5 linked regions of the Mus musculus genome follow. The protein of the gene in region 5 purifies or fractionates together with the protein of the main gene of each other region. This does not show direct contact. Links are inferred from orthologs where the notes say so. Each region holds a gene or a part of one and is shown on either strand. Other genes may lie near its edges.

Region 1 (4,258 bases), on a different chromosome or scaffold from region 5:
GTTCTGTGTGTGCTCTTGCCCCCACCGAAGCCTATGGAAAACAGCCATATGTCCATGCATCCCCAAGTCAGAGAGATATGGCTTTCTGTCTGTTGTGGTTTGAATATGTTAGGCCCAGGAAGTGGCACTATTAGGAGGTATGGCCTTGTTGGAATAGGTGTCTCACTGTGGGTGTGGGCTTTAAGACCCTCATCCTTACTGCTTGGAAGTCAGTCTTCCTAGCAGCCTTCAGATGAAGATGTAGAACTCTCAGCTCTGCCTGCACCATGACTGCCTGGATGCTACCATGATCCTTGATGATAATGGACTAAACCTCTGAACCTATAAGGCAGCCCTAACTAAATGTTGTCCTTATAAGAGTTACCTTGGTCGTGGTGACTATTCACAGCAGTAAAAACCTAACTAAGACACTATCCATTGCTTACAGGGAGAGGGAGAGGGGGGAGGGGGAGGGGAGGGGGAGGGGGAGAGGGAGAGGGAGGGAGGAGAGGGAGGGAGGAGAGGGAGAAGGGGGGAGGGGGAGGGGGAGGGGGAGGGGCAGGCTTAGGTGAAGGCACTTAGGGTGAAGGCAGAAGGATTAAGAGCTTCAAGACAGTGCCAGTGAGGTGGCTCAGTGGGTAAAGGTACCAAGTCTGAGTTCAATTTTCGGAACCCAAAAGTGGAAAGAAAAAACAGATTCCCTAAAGTTGCCCTCTGACTTCCACACATTCGTGGTAGTGTGTGCACACCAATCCACATACATATGAACACACATATAAATAAGTAAAAAAAAAAAATAAAGTTTTATAAGTGTTCCAGGCCACTCTGAGCTGCACAGTGAGACCTTACCTCTGTCTCAGATATAAATCAAAAGGTCATGGTATGGGTCAGAAGAGGATGCTACATACATATCTCTTTCTCCTTTGTAGGGTGCATCTGCCTTGCTGATTATGTGGTGTAACTGAGCCACTTCGCCACCTTGACGTGGGCTTGGTGTTAGGTCCAGAACATGGTCACTAGCCAGTTGGCCTCTATTCTCTCTGCCAAGACCCGGGGAGGCTCCAGCAGCCTCAGGATCACAGTGAGTAGCATAGACGACAGTGGGTGACATAGAGACATAATGCCCAGGCTGAAAGTTCAAGGAAACGTGGGGTCCATACCCAGTGTGCGTCACGCTCGCCTGACACCCCCTACCTTGGGAAAGGAGCACAGACCCCGCCCCGGGTGTGTTGGGGATGGACAGGGCCAGGAGCTCAGCAATGAGACAACTGCACGTGGAAGCATGTAGGAGGACCCAGGGACTGGGGCAGCGAGGGGCGTGGCCATCAGGGGCGTGGTGCCGACGCGCGGCCAGAGAGGGCGTGGTTTTGGTGAGCGAAGAAGCGTGAGCAACAGGGGCGTGATCACTAGGGGCGTGGCCATCGCGGGGGCGGGGCGGTGACGCGCTTCGACGCGCGATCCCGGAAGCGGTGTCAGTACTGGGGAGCCGGCGGCGGGCGGCGGGTGGCAGGGACTTGTTGTTCTTCGCCGAGTCGGAACGAGAAGTCCGAAGCGCGCAGGCGGAGACGGCGACTAAGGGGAGCGCGAGAGCAGAAGCGCTTGTGAAGAGTGCGTGTCCGCAAGGAGCCGCCGCGCCCGGCCCCGCGCGCGACCCGGGTGAGTGAGGGGCTTCGGGAACTGGGTAGGGGAACCCAGAGTTCGTGCACCTGCGGGAGGAGCACCCCGAAGGCCGCGGGACCCAGCCTGGGCCTCGAGCACGTGCCACGCGGGACCTAGCTCAAGGCCCACACGGGACCCACCACGTGCGGGAGAGTGGCACCCGGGAGCCGTGCGCACCTGGCCATTTCCGTCGGCGTAGAATTCGCCCCCACCTCGCCCCCGGCCGGGACCCCGAAAGGGCCTGAGTAACTGGTGTCACTTTCTAATCAGCTGACCGGCCAGCGGTGCCGGATGTGGAAGCTGTGGGTGGGGAGCGAGGCAGGTGACCGTCTTGGCCAGCCTATCGCTTCCGTCACTTTCTTCAGGTGTGGTCTGGGGCCAAGGTCCCATCCAACTCTGAAGTGCGAGGTTCCCTAGTAGGGTGAGCGGATAGGCGTGTTAAGAGTGTGCATGTTTACGAGCGTGCGGCGAGAAATCAGAAGCAAAAACTCTAGCAAATTACAGGTGAAGAAAGCCTCGTGGGTCCTAGGTGCCTAGATTAGATCTCTTTGGGGGAGATAGACTCCTCTTCTGGTATCCTTGAGATAACAGCCACTCCAGCCTCCTAGAACTTGCCCCGTAAGAACGCAGTCGGTATTTGGGAGGTGAGGCTGCTTGGTGCTCTTGTTTCTCTAGGGAAGTTAGTCTGAGCCTCGCTTTTCACACAGCTCTCATTGCTAACACAGATGCACTTTAACAGTTCGCCTTCCAATTGATGGACAGGCACTCAGTACACTCAGTCCTCAAAAGCTAGCTTGTGTCTCAGCTGGTAGGTAGTTCACCCCTTCCACTCCTGTGGAGTCACTAAAATTAGCCCTGGGACCCCAGAGGTTGGCACTGCTGAGGTCATACTGTGGCAGCAACATTTCAGAAGGTATCTGGTGGAGTGCACGTGGGTACTTTGATGCTTTGAGCTGGTGTTTTAGGGCCAGGTAACTTCTTTCAAAGGTGTTGGTCTAAAGCCATTATGTTATGGTGGCACATGCTTGTACTCCTAGCACATGGGAGTCTGAGGCAGGAAGATCTTGAGTTTAAGGTTAGCCTGGATTGCTTAGCTAGTTCAAGACCAGCCTTAGTTACATAGCGAGACACTGTCACACAAAACCAAACTGAAACAGTAGGTGTGAATTTAAGCATGTGGATGGAGTCAAGAAAGCTGTATAGGCAGGACCTACCTGCAGCCCATGTCACTGGGGACAGCCCTCACTGATGACAAAAACCTTCCTCTCTCCTTAGATAAATCACGAGAAATGTGGTGTTTGACCTTGGTAAAGGGAATGTGTCTAATGTGATAACTTCTTGTGATTCCAAAAGAAAAGATTTACTAGACAAAACACAAAGCCAGGCTTTGCTGGAGTACATTCTCCTCTTGTTCTCCAACTGAGCTGGGCTTGCAGGGCCCTGTTCCAAGTTCAGGGCTGTGTACTTTCCAGGTAGTTGCTAAAAATGGACGTTGGATGGAGGGTCTGGGGAGGCTCTGTTTTCCCGAGAGTCTGCTGTTTCTGTGTCCCAGCCCTTTCTCTAGCACCTCAAGGCTTCTGGTGAGTCTTTTCTGGCCATTACTTCCTAAGGACCCTCAGTTTTTAGTCCCTGGCTCTACCAGCCCCAGGGCTTGTTTACAGTCTCTGCTAACTCTTTCTTGCAGTCTAGACTAAGAAGTTGTGTCTGTTTTTGCCCCGGCTGTTCTGAGTCTAAAGGTTTCTTGGGGTGGACTTTCTGGATCTCGGGTCTAGTCCACACGGGAAATGGAAATCAGGCCAGCTGGGAGAATTCTCTGTGTGGCCGATCTCTGGAGCTATAAACAGTGACTCATTCTCCCGCCCCACCCTCCCTGTCCCCTGCTCCGCTCCGGGAAGATGCCTGGTCACTCATATTTACTTTTGCTTTTTATAAGTCACACACATGCGTTCTGTTTCCTCTTTCCTGCAGTTTCAGGAAACTGAAAGTGTTATCTGAAAACCTATAGAGTTTCACAGAGGTAGACCTGAGCCCCAGTGATCAAACACCACACTGCTTGGTGTTGGGGAGGATACTACAGCCTTGCTTGCTTGATGGCCTGGCCTGAGGTCAGAGGTCAGGGTTAGAGGATAGGGGCTGTTGTGTCTGATGACACACCTGTCAGCTCTTCCTTGGGGCTGTCTGGTATGGTAGGGGGAGAGCACACACCCTCCGCTCAGCTTCCTTTTTTGTCTGAGTCCCCGCCTCTGTCTGTCTATAAAACAGACCTTGATACCCTGAAGGAGCTGGTATCAGCAACACACGCTCTCTGCTTAACAGAAGTTGATTGTGCATGGAAGCTGCTGAAAGAATGTTCTAGAACCAGGTCTAGGTCCAGGGAAAAGGCTGACTTTCCAAAGACAGCAATTAGGAGGGCTTTCAGGAAGAAGTGGAAGTTGAGGCTAGAGTGGAGACCCCATATCCATCATAGCCAGGAACACTCACCAGCCAAAGAAGGAAGCCCAGACAGGGAAGCTCAGAAGGGCACCCCAAGACCTATGTTATCTGTGGGACTAAGTCTGAGGCACCAAGATCAGAGTTGGGGATCTGTTACACCAAGGTCCAGAGAAGAACTGGACCGTGC
Region 2 (4,098 bases), on a different chromosome or scaffold from region 5:
TCCTTGCTTTTAACCCAGGAAACAGAGGCAAAGACACTGTGTGACTGTACAGCCTCAGGCCTGGCCCCTGTCCTTATTACATGCAAGAGCTGGTTCGATTTGATAGAGGAAGGTAGTCTTCTGCATCCTGGATGCCAGAGTGGGGACACAGGAAGCTCTTGCCTTTGGGCTTGAATAACTTCCCTGAGAAGGCTGGAACCAGGGAAGGATGAAGAGAGGGAGGAGATCCTCACAGCAGTACTGGTTTGTTTTAAGTTTACAGAGGTAGAGGCAGGGGGTTAGAAAGCCAAGGTCATCCTTCGCTACAAGATATGAGAAAGGGAGAGAGAGAGAGAGTGAGAGAGACCTTTAAGCGAAGAAGTAGATACCACAGTGGATTAGTATATAGATGTATATGTATGAGCATATATGTATGTGTATATGTATATAGATATATATGTGTATGTTTGCAAGGTCTTCTGTGACCTCTCTTAGGATTGACACAGAATAAGATGGCTTCGAACTCCAGATTCTCCTACCCTAACCTCCCATGTGCTGGGAGTGTGCCACCACCCCCAGCTCTGCACCACTGAGAAAAAAAGACATTTATTTATTTTTATTTAATGTGTATGTTTGTGTGCTACGTATGCATACAGTGTCCGTGGATACCAGAAAGGGCATCATCAGATTCCCTGGAAGCATTATAGGTGGTTAGAGGTTGCCAGGGGAGACAGTGCTAAACCCAGATCCTCTGGAAGTGCTCTTAACTGATGAACCACCACTCCAGGCTCTATCTCTGTCTCTTTGTCTCTCTTCCTCCCCATCTTTTCCCTTCCTTCTCCCTCCCCCTCCCTCCGTCCCTCTGTCCTTCTCTCCTTCTCACTTGCTCTCTGTATTGATAAGTTAATGATTAGATGCAGGGTGGAGTGGCAATGAGGCTGATCACACCAAAATAAGCATGTCCAGGAGCAAGTCCTACCCCTAGTCCGAGTCCTTGAAGCACCATGTTATAGGGCACTCGGCAGGGGGCGTGCTCGGACAGTGCGGGGCTATGTCCCGGGTTGGCAGGGTTCTGGAGCCGCTAGGGCGGGGTAAAGTCAGATTTAAATTCCGCTCAGCCATCAGGCAGTGAGAGCAGAGGGTGGGCGGGTTCTGTCTCAGGAGCAACCAATAGCAATGAGGGGGCAGAGCCTTTGGTACGCATGGGAGACATCCAGCCAATGGGATTGCTGGGGCGGGGCGGCGAGCCAATAGAGCGGGCTGGTTTGATTCAAAGATGCCTATAAAAACTCAGACTACCACCGTAGACAAGTGGATCGGTTCTGGGCACTGCCATGGCTGCTCGCTTCGAGCTGTTGGACGACCTTCCCGCGGCCTGCCTGTCTCCGTGCGGACCGCCCAACCCCACGGAGCTGTTCAGCGAGGCGCGGCGTCTGGCTCTCGAGCAGCTGCTGGCCGGTGGTCCCGACGCCTGGGCCGCCTTCTTACGGCGTGAGCGGCTGGGCCGCTTCCTCAACGCCGACGAGGTGCGCGAGGTTCTGGGCGCTGCCGAGCGGCCGGGCGAGGATGGGGCGGCGGTAGCGGAGGACTCGTTCGGCTCCTCTCACGAATGCTCGTCGGGCACCTACTTTCCGGAGCAGTCGGACCTGGAACCGCCGGCGTTGGAGCTCGGCTGGCCTTCCTTCTACCAGGGTGCCTACCGCGGTGCCACGCGTGTCGAGGCTCATTTCCAGCCCCGCGGCGCGGGCGCCGGAGGCCCGTATGGCTGCAAGGATGCGCTGCGCCAGCAGTTGCGCTCCGCCCGAGAGGTGAGCGGCCCCCTGGCAGCGGGTAGGGGAGGAGCATCGGCCTTCTGAAAATTGAGTCATGTCGTAGTTCCAACTTCTGTTATTGGTACCCCTGGAACAGAGCGACTGTTAGTTCAAACCAAAGTGGATTGCAGAATTCCAGGGACGTCAGCTGACATTAGGTCTCACTTTCAGGAGCTAAGTAAAAGCTTAGTTTTACCCAAAAGATGATACCCGGAGACCATGGGGAGATCTGTAATTACCACTTTTCCACGCTTCTTAATGTTGTAGACAGATAAATTCGAGCAGTCGGTTTATCTCTTTCACTTCTGTGAGTGAGTCTGGTGGGAGATATTTTTAACCCACAGTGCCTGGGACTGTTCCAAGTAGCATTGATCCAAAATGCAAATATTTGTGCTTTAGATAAGCCACTGGTTACAATGGGTTTTTATCTTAGCTAGTGTCAGACTGCCCGATTGGCCTGGGGTGGAGTATAGAGTCTGGCCTGCCATAGATCAGGGAGAAAGGGCTCCACTTGGGAGGGTGTGGCTACAAGTTTGCATGCTGGTGAACACTGCTCCATTCCCAGACCTTTTGACTGCCTGGAACATGACGGGCAAAGCCTCAGACCATGTCAAGACTTAGTAGGCCTGGCACCGCTATATGTTAGGGTGCGGATCAGGTTGACATCACCAAGTCTAGGAGCAAGTTTGCGTTCTGTTTTTGTCTTTTGTTTTTTGTTTTCCTCTCTGCAAGACAAGGTCACTGTAACCCAGGCTTACCTGGAACTTACAGGCTTCAATTTCAGGCAATCCTCCTGCCTCTGCCTTCCTAGTGCCAAAGCCAAAGTTCTGATGCTGGTTCTGTACCTGACAGGCAGGACTTTGAGGATAAGAGTGTAGGTGACCAAGCTGTTCAGGGAATAGTATGGCTATGGCTGGATTCATGTTAATCCTGTGAGCTTTGGGTGGGCTGAGGGTCCGTTTGATGCTGGAAATGTTTCACTTGTGAGTTCAGTACAAAATTATAAAGCGTTTGGAAGAGGCAAAATTGTGGGCTAAGGGTGCATGCCCAAAGCTTCCCTCTGGGAGGAGAATTTGAGCACTCCTTGGGGACACCTTGAGAAGGAAAGACCTGGTCTCCAGGAAAGGCAGAGGTGTGGGCTGCTCTAACCTTTTGCTCAGTTGGGTGAAGGCACTAGAGCTAGAGGTCAGAAGGAAAACTTGCCTTAAAAGGGATCACAGCTACAGCAGACTTCCCTATCTTTCTTGCAATCTGAAAAACATCAGTGGATGGGGCCTCCTGCTTCCCTCTGTACCTACTTCCTTTACACCTCCCCTACATCCCTGTCTCTGGAAGCTGGGCGTTCCCACGGAGAAAGGTGGGAAACCCAATGAGCATTTTTTTGTATATATGCCCAAGTGCATACTTACCCAGAGTCTCCCAGCTGTCACACTGCCAGGGCTGGGGTCACAGAGGAGGGGGTGTGGTTCTCGTCCTTAGTTCATGGAGGACTGGGGATGAGGAAGGGGCTAGAAGAAAATCTGGAGTGGCGATGTCTGAGTTGGACTGAGAAGGAAGGATGGAACTAGCCTGTCTATGGAGAAGATAGGGACCAAAAGTCGAAAAGATGATGGGGGTGGTGTTCCTAGCAGTAAGCCTGGCGTGAAGGAGTTTAGATTTAGGAGGGCTGAGGTGGCAAGGAGGCCAGAGACATCCTTGTAAGAGGAAAGAGTCTGGATTAAGGCAGGGTGGGCAGGAAGCCAGTTTTAGGCAGAGTTCCCTGAATTTGAGACATGACGAACTGGAGTGGAAAGGCAGGGGAGGAAAGTATGTAGACAGCGAGGAAGCTTGAAGGCTGGGGGGGCGGGGTAGCTCTGTGGCAGGACGGACCTTAACATGCTGGAGGTCTTGGGTTTGAGCACACACTAAGGGGACAAGGGGGAGAAGGAAACACGTGGAAGGTTGATGGCTCTGCCGCCTCAGTTCCCGTAGAGAACAGCCGGGCTCTGCCTTCGAATGCTGGGCTTCCAGGCGTGTGCCGCCAAGCTGGCTGAGGCTGAGACTTGCTGGCCCTAGTTGGCAGTGACAGGACTACACTGGAATACATTAAGGAAAACAAGGACTGAGCTGGCCAAGGAGTGGGGTGTATAGGAATTAGGTTAATTTGAGGCATGAGGCTTTAAGAGGAAAAAAAAATGAGTCAATAAAAATTGTTTTCTCACCGCCTTTAATCCCAGCAGGCAGACACAGGCACATCTCTATGAGTTTGAGGCTAGCTTGGTCTAAATTGCAAGTTCCAGGCCTACAAAAGCTATATGGGGTGTGGGGT
Region 3 (4,295 bases), on a different chromosome or scaffold from region 5:
CAGAGGTTTAATCCATTATTGTCATGGAGAGTAGCAAGACTGAATCAGGGCCGACTTGCTGCTGGAGGATGGGCTTAGTTAGAGTTCTGCATTCTGAAGGCTGCAAGAAACTGTAAGTCACACACGGGCATAGCTTGAGTATATAAGACCTCAAAGCCTGTCCCCACAGAGACAATCGTCTTCCAACAAGACCACACCTCCTAATAGTGCCATTCCCTATGGGCCAAGCATTTAGACACGGCATTTAGAATTCATGCAGGCCATTTCTATTCAAACCACCACAAGGCATAAGGAGTAATTCTCTGTATTCTGAGACTCTGGCTACAGCCAGTGAAAGATAAAAGCTCCCCCCCCCCCACTCCCCAAAGAAATACAATGTAAAGAATTACTTTTTGAGGCTGGGTGTGGTGGCACATGTTTTTAATCCCAGCACTAGAGAGGCAGAGGCAGTCGGATCTCTGAGAGTTTGGGGCCAGCCTGGTCTAAACCTTGTCTCAAGAAACCAAATTTGACACAAAGGACACACACAGGCCCCCTCCAGCCTGCTTACCCCCTTTTCCTTGTCACCTATGTTACAGAACGAGTCACCTTTTCACGATTCCCAGAGAAGACAGGGTCAAATAGAACGTTCAGAACCTCGAAATGAAAACTTGATCCCTCCTACTTTCCTTCTTTTTTACTTTTTCAACAGCAGCGAGAAGTCTCACAGAAAAAGTAGCAGCAGAATGCACCCAAAGTAGTTTCAAATGCGGCAGAGAAGGGTTGGGCAAAGTGCACAACTCCTACAGTGCACGCACACTACCCGAAGAGATGGTCCACGGCCGCAGGTGAAGCCCCTAGCACCCTCCGGAGATTAGAATCATTAGTGAGCGTCCTCCAAGCCTTCGTGTCATCGTGGATAGTTTGGGGATCTGAGCTGGGGTTGGGGCTGTGCCCCTCAACAGCCGTGTCCTTTTCAGACTGCTGACCCATTTAGAATGAGGACGTCGCAGCAGAACGGGGTAAGGAACTAAATCACTGTGTCACACCTTCAAAACAGCAAATAGGTTCCCGCGTGGTGACGCTCATCTGTGAGTTCCGCTTTCAGGGGGCCGAGGCAGGAGCATCTCAGGGAATTGAAATCCAGTCTGCTCGCTGTACAGTGAAACTATGCATCCAAGTGAAGAAAATCAAACAAACCTCCCATAGACCTCGGTCTGAGTTGGTGTGGAGATCGGGAGGGAGCTAGAGGCATCCGAGTTGGGGCCACTCCGTAGAACCTGTCTCTGCAGGAGCACGGTCAACCCGGCGAGCGCCGGGACGACTCCCGCGAGACATTGCCAGGGCGCGGCGGGCGTTGCCAAGGGCAACGGCGCGGGGCTGCGCAGGCGTGATGGGGGCGCGCTCGCCTTGCTGCCGCCTCGCCTTTCCCTTTAAGCTTAGGCCAGCCGCGTCGCCGCTTCATGAATGGAACCCACGTGACCAAACATCATGTGACGTCTGAGGAGCGGCGGCGGCGGCGGATTCTGAGCCCGGTCCGGCCCGGCCTTCCCAGCGCGCTTGGCCCGGCCCGCGCAGGCGGCCAGTCCTCCTAAGCCCCCGGCCCGGACCCTTCGCGCCCGCCCCAGCCCCGCGCAGCCCCGGAGCGCGCGCGCGCGGCCCCGCCCCAGCCCCGCCTTGGCCCGCCCGGGCCCGCAGTGTGGTGAGTGCGCGGGGCTGGGGCGGGCGGCGGGGCCTGGCCTCGGGGTTGCGGCGCACCCGACGGCAGCGCGTGCCTTGGTTTCCCCGCCAGCCGGCTGTTCGCCTGTGTCCCCCTAGAGCCGGCGGACCGGGCGACCGCGAGGCTGGGGACGGGCGTGCGCGCGGCGGCGGACCCCGGGTGCCCTGCGGGGGGCGCGATTTAAGGGCGAGCTGCGCGCGTCTGCCCGGGTCAGCGGGGTGGCCGCACCGAGCTGCTGACTCATCAGGTGTCCGTCGGCTTCCGCGCGGGCGGGGTCGCGCGCGGGCCCACAGGGGAGGCGGCGGGGAGACCCTGCTGCGCGGCTTGGGCTCGCCACGCGGGTGCGAGCCCAGCGGAGACGTGCTGAGTCATCAGCATGAGGTCACTCGGTGCTCCTGCTGACGCTGGGCCAGGGCGGGGGGCCGGGGCCCGCTATCGGCCGGTCTAGTCGGGAGACAGGGCTCGATCCGGGTGGTGAAGGTCGGGCCGGGATCCGGGGTCGTGTTTAAGTTTGACAGACCTGTGAGTTGGAGGCAAAGGCTCCGAAGGAGGCATTGCAGGGGCGCGCCGCAGGTTTCTCCCGGGGTGGAAGGTAAAGCCCCGGGCGTGCGCATCCTTGCCTGGTTCTTGGGCTCCTGGCCCGGGTCCCACAACTGGGGCAGTTCCCCAAACCCGGAGACCGATCGGTGTACGCTGAGGGGAGGAGCTTAGGTGGGCCGAGCCAGCTCGTCTGGGAAGCAAGCTTTCCTTCTCTGTGACCCTGAATGGCCAGGCTTCGTCGGTCCTAGATGGGGAAGACCGGGAGGCAGGGGGAGAAGGGTCTGTGGCTTGAAAGAAGCTGGGGCAGCTCTAACCAGCTAAGGAGAGCAGAGTGTGGATCTAGGCAGCTGGTGAGAGTTTTTGAGGTGCAACCATGGAGTAGAAGATGTAGTTTTATTTATCCCAATGTTATTCCTTTCAGAAGAGTTTGGGGTCCCACTGTTGCCTGGAGTTACCAAAAAGTGTGTGTGCCCTGTTGGGTGTCTGGAGACTCTTGGGAGGTGACAGTTTTGTGGGGTGTGGCTGAATGGCTGTTTACTGACTTATCTGTCGTGAAGGTTCTTGAACTCCATCCTACTGCTTTCCTTGCCCAGGGATTCATGTCTAGACTGTGCTTACCTTGTGGTTTGTGCTAAGGGATGTCCCCTTAACCCTGAGCCCTGAGGCTGCTCATAGGTGCAGTGTTTTTTTCATTTGGTGTGGAACTTGCCCTATGAAACTTCAAGGTTCCAGAAAATTGTTAAACTCCGGAGGCACTGTGCTTCAGTGAACTTAATGTTTTCCGTTCTCTTCAAACAATGTCAGTACCTGAAGGAGAGAAGACCTACGTAGGGGGTCTCCTGCATTGAGGTTTACAGGCAAGGTTTAGCAAGGAAGGGTCACTATCTTGCTTGAGACTAATGTCCAGATTGTCTAGTGTGAGAGGACAGAGGTGCCCAAACCCCTTCTTTAAGGGTCAGCCTGAATGAGTGGTCCAGAGCCCCTTGGTGTCTTGAGTCTGTCCATAACTGTGAGTACTTGGAGGGCTGAGTTGGAGGCAGCAGGTCCAGATCAGCTTCTCTGAGCTTCTTCCTCAGGCTCTGGAAAGCTCTCTAAACTGTATCCCTCAGCACAGCTGTCCCCCCCAGAACTGTCTGCCTAGTCACTGTGTCCCTAGGTTTGCAGAAGCCAGGCAGGTAGCTGGAAGAATTGGCTTTCCTGAGACCTGCCCTTCCCCCTTAAGCACACATGCGTATAAACATGTACACACACTCGCTCTAACACACACACATTCTCTCTCTCTCTCTCTCTCTCTCTCTCTCTCTCTCTCTCTCTCTCTCTCTCTCTCTCTCTCTCTCTCTCTCTCTCGTGCACCTTTGATCAGGAGGCAGTTGGCTGCACTTGTGCTGAGTTCAGGCCTTTGGTGGAGGTAAAATCTGTTGAGAAGGCACTTTTCAGCTCCCAGCCGCCACACTCTGCACTTTCCTGTGCGATCTCAGGAAGTCACCGTTTTGAGCTCAGCAGTCTGTATAAGGGAAGCTCCTGCCAGGACTGTCCCCTCACCTCGACTTATGCTCCTAGTGTGAGTATAGGGCCAACTTGTAAGAAAGACAGATGCCCTTCAGACCTCTAGATCTGAGTTCTGCCTTTCTCTTTGATCTAGCAGTACTGTTGCCTCTGAAAATGCTCCTAATCTAGTCCTGTAGATTTAGTCCTGGTTTGCTTGCTCAGTGTTTGCATGTAGCCACACCTCCTGTTCAAAGCTAAAAGCAGTAGGGTAAAGCTAATGAGAATGTGTTAGTTCCTTTGATAAGATGAACCAACTCCCCATCCAGCACATTTTTGCCTGAAGTGCTCACAGACCTGCAGCAACCTCACTTCCCTCATTTCCCTGCACCTAACCTGGAAAGGAGAGGATGTGCCTGTGGGACTGGTGGGTGTTGGGCTAAGTGGGGATTCCCAGCCTAGGTACACAAGAATGTCCTTGGCAAGGCTTTAGAAAGCTGAAAATGAGGTTGAGCCCGGAGGGGCGGCTGACTGTAGGAGGGACCTGTTTTGCTTTTGTTCCCTGGCCCTG
Region 4 (4,082 bases), on a different chromosome or scaffold from region 5:
GTATCTTGTTAATCACAGCTGATTCTTCAGCCCCAGCTAACCAAAACCACAGAACCTTCACAATCAATACAGCAACAGCCCTGATAAGAGTCTTCCCTCTGAAATTTCACAAGCCAGGCCTCCATCTTCTGTGCTGTTCTCAACATTATCTTCCAAGCTCCTACACAACATCCCACAGAGCTCTTAACATCCCAATGGTTCTTCTAGCCCAAAGTTCCAAATTCCTTCCATAGTCCTCCAGAAAACATGGTCAGGCTGTCACAGGAATTCCTCACTATGTTGGTACCAATTTGGTTTAGTCAGGGTTTCTATTCCTGCATAAACATCATGACCAAGGAACAAGTTGGAGAGGAAAGGGTTTATTCATCTTACTCTTCCACATTGCTGTTCATCACCAAAGGAAATCAGGACTGGAACTCAAGCAGGTCAGGAAGCAGGAGCTGATGCAGAGGCCATGGAAGGATAGTCTTCACTGGCTTGCTTTCCCTGGCTTGCTCAGCCTGGTCTTTATTATTATTATTATTAATTAATTAATTTATTTATTGGTTTTTTTGAAACAGGGTTTCTCTGTGTAGCCCTGGCTGTCCTTGAACTCAGAAATCCGCCTGCCTCTGCCTCCCTAGTGCTGGGATTAAAGGCGTGCACCACCATGCCCGGCTTCAGCCTGCTCTCTTATAGAATTTAAAATCTACTTTCAATTTTGTTCAGCCCATTCTCATTCACCTTCCAGATCTCCATGTGGCCATCTAGCTTTTGCAGAATCCCCCCCCCCCCCTCAAAAAAAATCAGGCTAGAAAATTCTCATAGCACTGTCTATAATTCCTAACAGCTTATTATGCTTTCATAAGGACTTATTTACTTTATCTCTACATTAGACTTAAGTGCTTGCAATTTGGGAGTAGCTTCTATTCTTCTAGTATTTAGCTCATAGTTATGTTGAGCAGTATAGAAAAAAAATATCTTGTTTGGGATGTGAGAATGGACTAGGCTTTTGTAATTAGCCACAGGAGTACTCAAAATCACCTGTGTCTGACAAGCTACAGAAAATACCATGCCAGACACTTTGTAGACATAGGGAGAACACACCAAATTTTAAAAAAAAAAAAAGTTAGATTCCCTCCTTTATCCCAGGATGCTTTAAGTTTCCTTGAGGTAGAAAAAGCTGCCATGGACTTACAAATATTAAATATCTGACATATTATCTTTGACACTGTAAGCCTTAACTACTGCTCCTTAAAACCAAACAGCAGCTGAGCCATGTGTGTTGTGCAGGTCTCTTAAGTTTCAGTACTTGGGAGGTGGCAGCAGGAGTACAAGGCTAGCCTGTGCTACAAGAGACCTTGTCTCAAAACAAAAACATCTACCCTGTTCTGTAGAACCTAAGTTGTCTGAGTTCCCTGGAAATGGTGTGGCCATGGAGATGGCTGTGTCTGATCACTCACTTGACCTTGTGAATGGAGGAACGTTGATAGAAACCAGATAGAGACTACTAACCAGTACATGCTACAGAGGATATAAACCGGCCTTTCATCTTCCGCTCCATCACTTACTTGCTGGCTGCATAATATAGTCAGAAACTCTCTCAATGTTCTCATTTGTAAAGAGTACAACTTTGGTACTTTTCTCGTCTAGCTGTTCAAAGGAATAACATATAGACCTTACGACAGTACAGCTGCACAGTTAGCATCTATCACCTCACACCCAAGGCTCTAGTTACTTGTGCATAAACCACAGCCCTTAAGAGCATAGCATATATCCTTGGAAGTCTGGGTTCCCACTCCATTTCTGCCAATTTAGTTTCATAAAATTGAGTGGATTTCAGTCTCATTTTTCATTTACTTCCAACATGCTATTAATTTGTTGTAGGTGTGAGTTACTGACAGTCTATGTAGCTCAGGCCACTAGGTCTGGAAGTGTCTATTTCTTACAGGTGAAAACATTAAAAATTACTTTATTCTAACTGTTTAAATGCTATCACCATCTACACTCAATTTACTCTGTCATCTACACACCAAGTTCCACTATTCTATTGTTAAAATGCTGAACATTACTTAAGAATTGTTTCATGAGATGGCTCAGTGGGTAAGAGCACTGACTGCTCTTTCAAAGGTCATGAGTTCAAATCCCAGCAACCACATGGTGGCTCACAACCATCTGTTATGGGATCTGAGGCCCTCTTCTGGTGTGTGAGGACAGCTACAGTATACTCATGTTAATAAATCAACCTTAAAAAAATAAAATATTAAAAAAGAAATTCCAAAGAACTGTTTCACGAGTGGAAAAGAATCCGTGGGCAGCTGTCTTTACTGAACAGATTTCTCAGTCTTTATGCTTTTATATCTGAATGCAATGTCAATGCAGAAAATTCTAAAGAGAGTAACTTCTTTTTAAAAAGAAAAGTAGCGCCTGCCAACTCCTAATCCCCTTCAACCAGCTGTGGTTTCTCCATGGTGTTGATGGCATATTTTGGAATCTCACGCTTGAAGACTCGCTGTGTGCAGGGATGACCTCATTTCACGTAGGGCCGCGTCTCTACCATCCCACACTGCGCTAACCAGGTGTTTACTGCGTGAATTTGGAGAAAAACAAACACCGCCCCAGCCCTAACCTGGCTTTCGAATGACTGGGAAACGAGGGCACATCCCCTTCCCACCCTGTTCCCCCACCCGTACGTACCCGAAGGGTCATTGAATCTCTTCAGGGGCGCCTTAGGAAAGGACATTCTGACGCCTGGGTCCAGATGAGACAGCAATCAAACGCCCCAGCAAACTGTCAGCTCGCCTGAATTCAAATTTACCTCAACTTTCCCCCTCAGCCAATCAGAAAACCTAAACCTATCTGGCCAATCCTGCATGGTCCAAAGAGCATGCGCACTAGATTCCTACCGCCGCCCAATCGGAAGGTTTGTAAGTTTAAGCTAGTAGCCAATAAGAGGCTGCTCCTGATCGTCGCCGCAAACAGCTCTATCCAATCACTTCTGGTTTTACTCAGTTTTACTGGGTAGCCCAGTTCGCGCAAGCGCACTTCACAGGCCGGTGGACGCGTCGGAATTTTGGCGTCACACAGGTTTAAAGATCGCAGGCACTTTTCTCCTTTGTTCCGGCGTCAGTGTTCTTTGGATGTCAACATCTCTAGGCTTCGGTCGATTTCACCAGGGCTCACGAGTGTCTTAAATGGGCTCTGAAAGGGAGAATTTTGCACACTCGGACACGCCAGTTTGGACTCTTGCGCATGTGCAGTGACCCCAAGGCGCCGAGGGCAAGCCCAGAGCCTAGTCCCGCCGGTGTAGTGCTCTCCCGGAGCCGTGTGCCTGCGTGGCGTCTTCAGAATGTCCGCCCCGTTTGAGGAGCGCAGCGGGGTGGTTCCTTGCGGGACTCCGTGGGGACAGTGGTACCAGACCCTGGAGGAGGTGTTCATTGAAGTCCAGGTGCCCCCCGGCACTCGCGCGCAGGACATCCAGTGCGGCCTGCAGAGTCGGCACGTGGCTCTGGCCGTGGGTGGCCGCGAGATCCTCAAGGTAGCAAGCCAGGGCTTGTCCCGAGTTCCTTCTTCTGGCTTTCCCGCACCCCGAGCCCTAAAATTCACGGTGTCAGAGGGATGACTGCTGGGTGTGGCAAGGTTAGTTCCTGGCTGGTAGAAAGAAGTGGTAAATTGTTCTGGCGAGGGGTCTCCACGGAGCACTGCACCCACAGAGCAGATTTTGCGCGGGTAGAACTCAAAGATTTTGTTCTCCACTTTATTTCTAAAATAGGTTTGGGGTGCTTTTATTTCCTCCGGAGTTCCTGCTGACAGAAGGCTAAGTAGGTCAAAAGAACGAATATGCGTCTTCTGGGCACCGATGGGAGTCCCAGAGACTAGACAAAAGGATTCTGAACTCTGTTCATGACGTGTAGGCTAATACAGGCACTTACAAGCAAGGCTAGGGTAATGGGATGAGGATTCCAAGATGTCAGATTGGTTTTCTAAATAACAAGTTTCTTGCATGTTGATCTTCATCGTAGTGAAAAGGTGTGTGAAGTTACCTAATTTCACCAAATTTTTAATCTGGTCACATTTCCCCGTTTTTGGTTAAGAATTTATTA
Region 5 (3,500 bases):
CGCTTTGAGCTCCTGCTCCTCCTGTGTCTGGGCCGTGCTGTGAAGCTCTCTGGTTGGGTTGGTTTGATTCACTCCTTAGCAACTATTCTGACTTGCCCTGGTAAATTGAGGTTTTCAAAATAGCATAAGTGGAGATAGCAGTTAGCTGCCTCAGAGGTGGCTGTGAGGGGTTGCTGGGCGTGTGAGGAACAGAGGGAAGATTAGAGAGCTCGTGCTGTACCTGGGCACAAGTCAGCTTCTGTGGGACATTCTTGTTTTTAAAATTGCCCGTGTGTGTGTCTATATATGTGCCTGTGTGTCTGTGGGAAGGGGGCACTCGAGTCCGGCTCCCGTGTGTTCAGGAGGGGCCAGAGGCTGTCCGGATCCTTTCTTCGGTCTCCTCTGCCCTTTGAGCACACCTGCAGCTTGCTGACTTTTTTTGGCTAGGCTGGCCAGCCAGCAAGCCACAGCAGTCACTCTAAGACCTTCTACTCCGCTACAGCAGTGTAGCCCCAGTGTATGGCCATATTTAACTTTTTACTTGGGTTCTGGGGATTCGAACTCAGATCCTTATGTTTGTGCAACAATCACTCCTGACCCTCTGAGCCTTCCCCTGACTCTTCTTGGACATTTTTATTTAGTGTCGCAGTGTGCATGTGAATGTGGAGAGACCACATACATAGATAGATAGTTACATGAAGATACAGAAATTACATAATATTTGTGATCTCTAGAGCATCTCTGAATGGTGGTTTTGATTTGTAAAAGGAAGCCCAAACGGTCACTGTTACAGTTAACCTTTCCTAATTTGAAAGGCCAGCAGCACTTGACATTAAATCTCCTGCCGTTGAGAATGGCTTCCTTTCGGCGGTGACAGAGGAAGCCAGACGTTAGTATAACTATCACTGAGTAAAGAGGGTTGTTAGTTTCTCCCAGGGTCTTGTTTCTATTCCCACTAGCTGCAGAGAGGTGCAAAGAAAAGAGGGCACAGATGGCTTTAATGTGTTTCTTCTCGGGGATAGAAGCCAGTGCTGTTCCCGTCTTGGCACCTGCAGACTGATTTCATCTGTAGTAACTGACAGAGTCTGTGTAAGAGGAAATGGCTGAATGAAGACCCGACTTACACACGAGCACGCACATGCACATTCTTGACCTGCTCTTGTTTTTATTTTAAAAGAAAACTAAAATTCTGAACAAATTGGGGAATTGCTTTGGATTATAAAAATTTATATTGTGCTTATAATAAAAGAATTCCTATTCATTGCATATTTAAAAATATCATATAATCTTAATATTTTACAAACACCACTAATAATTAAATTTTCACATAACACCGTAGAAATATTTTTGTGAGCTCTGCTAGGTACACACGTGTAAGAGCACATCTGTATCTAGCAGAGCTCTTGCTACCTTTAAACTATTTTTATGCTAGAAGGACCAAAAGTTTGACAGTTAGAAATTACCGCTGTGAAATACAGCATCGGGTGGTCTCTAGGAGCCCTGGCTCTTCAGAGCTGTCAGCGAGCAGAGAGCAGGCGGTGGTGGCCTCTGGTTCCCTTAGACACTAGTCGTGCTGTTTCCACGGGGGAAACCTTTGTCCTGCGGTTAGCGCTTATTAACTCTCAGTTCACAAGCAGCTCGGTGATTAGGTTGCCTAGCACATAAGACATTAGAAGTGAGTGGTAGGAGGTGAAGGAGGCGGCGGGATGAGGGGAAAGGAAAACACTATTGGCGGTGATGCCTGATGTGGGCAGAAGGGACGGACCAGGAAAACGTACTTAGTGGTACACTTTCTTGTAGGGATTTGAAAATACCGCACTGTAAACAGTACACACAGGGTTAGCCTCCTCACTCCTTACCCTGTAGGAACTCACTTCTCATACGGGTACGCTGAAGTCTTACTTCTGTTTACTGAGTCACTCCGTGGATTCTATAGCTAAGACATTGACATAATCCTGGGCTCACAGTCAGATCTCAGGAAGGCAGCATTAGCTGAGTCTTACAGTGAGGTAAGTTTCAGGGGCTAACCGAGGAACTGTGTTGGTTTCCTTCCGCACAGGGTCAAGCCCGTAGTTATCCACAGTTCAAACCCAAGCACTCAGGATAATGAGTTTGCCTTAGAACCATGGCCAGAACCCAGCCCCTTTTGATAGCCAGCTACAAGTTCTTTCCCCTACTTTCCGCCTTACTTGATCTTTCAGTGTTTCATTTAAGAGTATAAGGATGTTTGGTGGTGCGTTTTAACTACACACACACACACACACACACACACACACACACACACACACACACACACACGAGTACTGGTGTGCACAGTATAAGGACTGACTCTAGGAGTTTTGGATGAGCCTTTCTTTGGTATTTTGCGTGTGTGTGTGTGTGTCTGTGTCTGTCTGTCTCTGTGTTCAGCTCTGAGTTTCCGCATGCCCGTACGTGGACTACTCTGCACGTAGAGTAGTGTATATAGTACATTACCTGAGGCCCCTGTCCTACAAGCTTGGCAAGCTGTTCACTGAGAGCAGCCTCATTCCCTTCCTACCTCCCACCCCCTTTAGTCGTCTTTGCTTCTCTAGACTTCTTCCTGCTTTCATATCATATGTGGTTTTTGTGTCTACATAAAAATCTAGGACCTACATACGAGAGAGAACATCTGTGTTTGGAACACTGACTCAATTCACCTATTGTAAACTTCAGTTTTCTTCCAAACAGCATAACCTCATTTTTCTTTATGGTGGAAAAGATTCCACTGTATACTGATGCACGTGAGCCCTTCCTCGGTGTCTGGGCACCTCAGTCGGTCCCGTCACTTAGGTACCGTGAGTAGCGCAGCAGCAAACACTGCAAGTGTGTCTGTGGTGAGTTGACATGGGTGTGTGAGGGGTTGAAAGGCAGCATTCAGCAGGGTCTTACTGAAGACGACATTGTAGGCACTGAGTGTCTGATTGCCTTAGAGCTGTCGGGGGACACAGTAAACACCGTTGTGTTCTCTCTCTCCTCTGCACAGCAAAGTGAAAAGGAGAGCTTGCTGAAGGAGCGAGACCACATTCTGTCAACGCTGGGGGAGACAAAGCAGAACCTGACCGGACTTTGTCAGCAGGTGTGCAAGGAAGCCGCCCTGAGCCCCGAGCAGATCCAGATCCTTGCCAAGTACTCGGCCTCCGACTGCCCGCTTTCCTTTTTAATTTCTGAGAAAGGAAAAAGTACTCCCGACGGCGAGCTTGCTTTTACATCGGTTTTCAGTGTGTCTGACGTGCCTCCAACTGCACCACCTCCCTGTGGGCGAGGGAGCAGCGCGGCCAGCCAGGAGCTGGTGCAGGAGTCCCCGCCAACCACCGCAGCTGCCCCAGAGCAGGCCACGCTGTTGGAACCCTGTCGGCAGAGTGCTGGGATCTCAGACTTCTGTCAGCAGATGTCTGACAAGTGCACTACTGACGAGTAAACCCCACGGGCAGCCTTCAGCCCATGGCCTCCCTCTGACCTTCGGCATTGTCTCGAAGCCTAGCGTGGCCGTGTCTTCTTGC

Evidence for each region.
Region 1: the proteins of Bach1 (region 5) and Mafk purify together in Homo sapiens (affinity purification with mass spectrometry; 6 studies listed by BioGRID and IntAct, counting the BioPlex papers as one, with this or other methods). This does not show direct contact. The link is inferred for Mus musculus from reciprocal best matches to the Homo sapiens genes BACH1 and MAFK.
Region 2: the proteins of Bach1 (region 5) and Fam83d purify together in Homo sapiens (co-immunoprecipitation; 3 studies listed by BioGRID and IntAct, counting the BioPlex papers as one, with this or other methods). This does not show direct contact. The link is inferred for Mus musculus from reciprocal best matches to the Homo sapiens genes BACH1 and FAM83D.
Region 3: the proteins of Bach1 (region 5) and Mafg purify together in Homo sapiens (affinity purification with mass spectrometry; 5 studies listed by BioGRID and IntAct, counting the BioPlex papers as one, with this or other methods). This does not show direct contact. The link is inferred for Mus musculus from reciprocal best matches to the Homo sapiens genes BACH1 and MAFG.
Region 4: the proteins of Bach1 (region 5) and Hmmr purify together in Homo sapiens (affinity purification with mass spectrometry; 6 studies listed by BioGRID and IntAct, counting the BioPlex papers as one, with this or other methods). This does not show direct contact. The link is inferred for Mus musculus from reciprocal best matches to the Homo sapiens genes BACH1 and HMMR.

What each region holds. Positions count from the first base shown.
Region 1 is NC_000071.6:139,790,078-139,794,335, forward strand, and holds the start of Mafk (transcription factor MafK), read left to right. Parts: upstream 1-1,458; 5' UTR 1,459-1,635; intron 1,636-3,629; exon of another isoform or gene 3,630-4,258. UniProt on the Homo sapiens protein: Since they lack a putative transactivation domain, the small Mafs behave as transcriptional repressors when they dimerize among themselves.
Region 2 is NC_000068.7:158,766,801-158,770,898, forward strand, and holds the start of Fam83d (protein FAM83D), read left to right. Parts: upstream 1-1,298; 5' UTR 1,299-1,313; coding exon 1,314-1,787; intron 1,788-4,098.
Region 3 is NC_000077.6:120,630,748-120,635,042, reverse strand, and holds the start of Mafg (transcription factor MafG), read left to right. Parts: upstream 1-1,495; 5' UTR 1,496-1,681; exon of another isoform or gene 1,682-4,295. UniProt on the Homo sapiens protein: Since they lack a putative transactivation domain, the small Mafs behave as transcriptional repressors when they dimerize among themselves.
Region 4 is NC_000077.6:40,730,638-40,734,719, forward strand, and holds the start of Hmmr (hyaluronan mediated motility receptor), read right to left. Parts: upstream 2,801-4,082; 5' UTR 2,723-2,800; coding exon 2,677-2,722; intron 1-2,676. Other genes in the region: Nudcd2 (nudC domain-containing protein 2), read left to right, coding at 3,329-3,517. UniProt on the Homo sapiens protein: Receptor for hyaluronic acid (HA). Involved in cell motility. When hyaluronan binds to HMMR, the phosphorylation of a number of proteins, including PTK2/FAK1 occurs.
Region 5 is NC_000082.6:87,726,454-87,729,953, forward strand, and holds part of Bach1 (transcription regulator protein BACH1), read left to right. Parts: intron 1-2,983; coding exon 2,984-3,418; 3' UTR 3,419-3,500. UniProt on the Homo sapiens protein: Transcriptional regulator that acts as a repressor or activator, depending on the context. Binds to NF-E2 DNA binding sites. Plays important roles in coordinating transcription activation and repression by MAFK.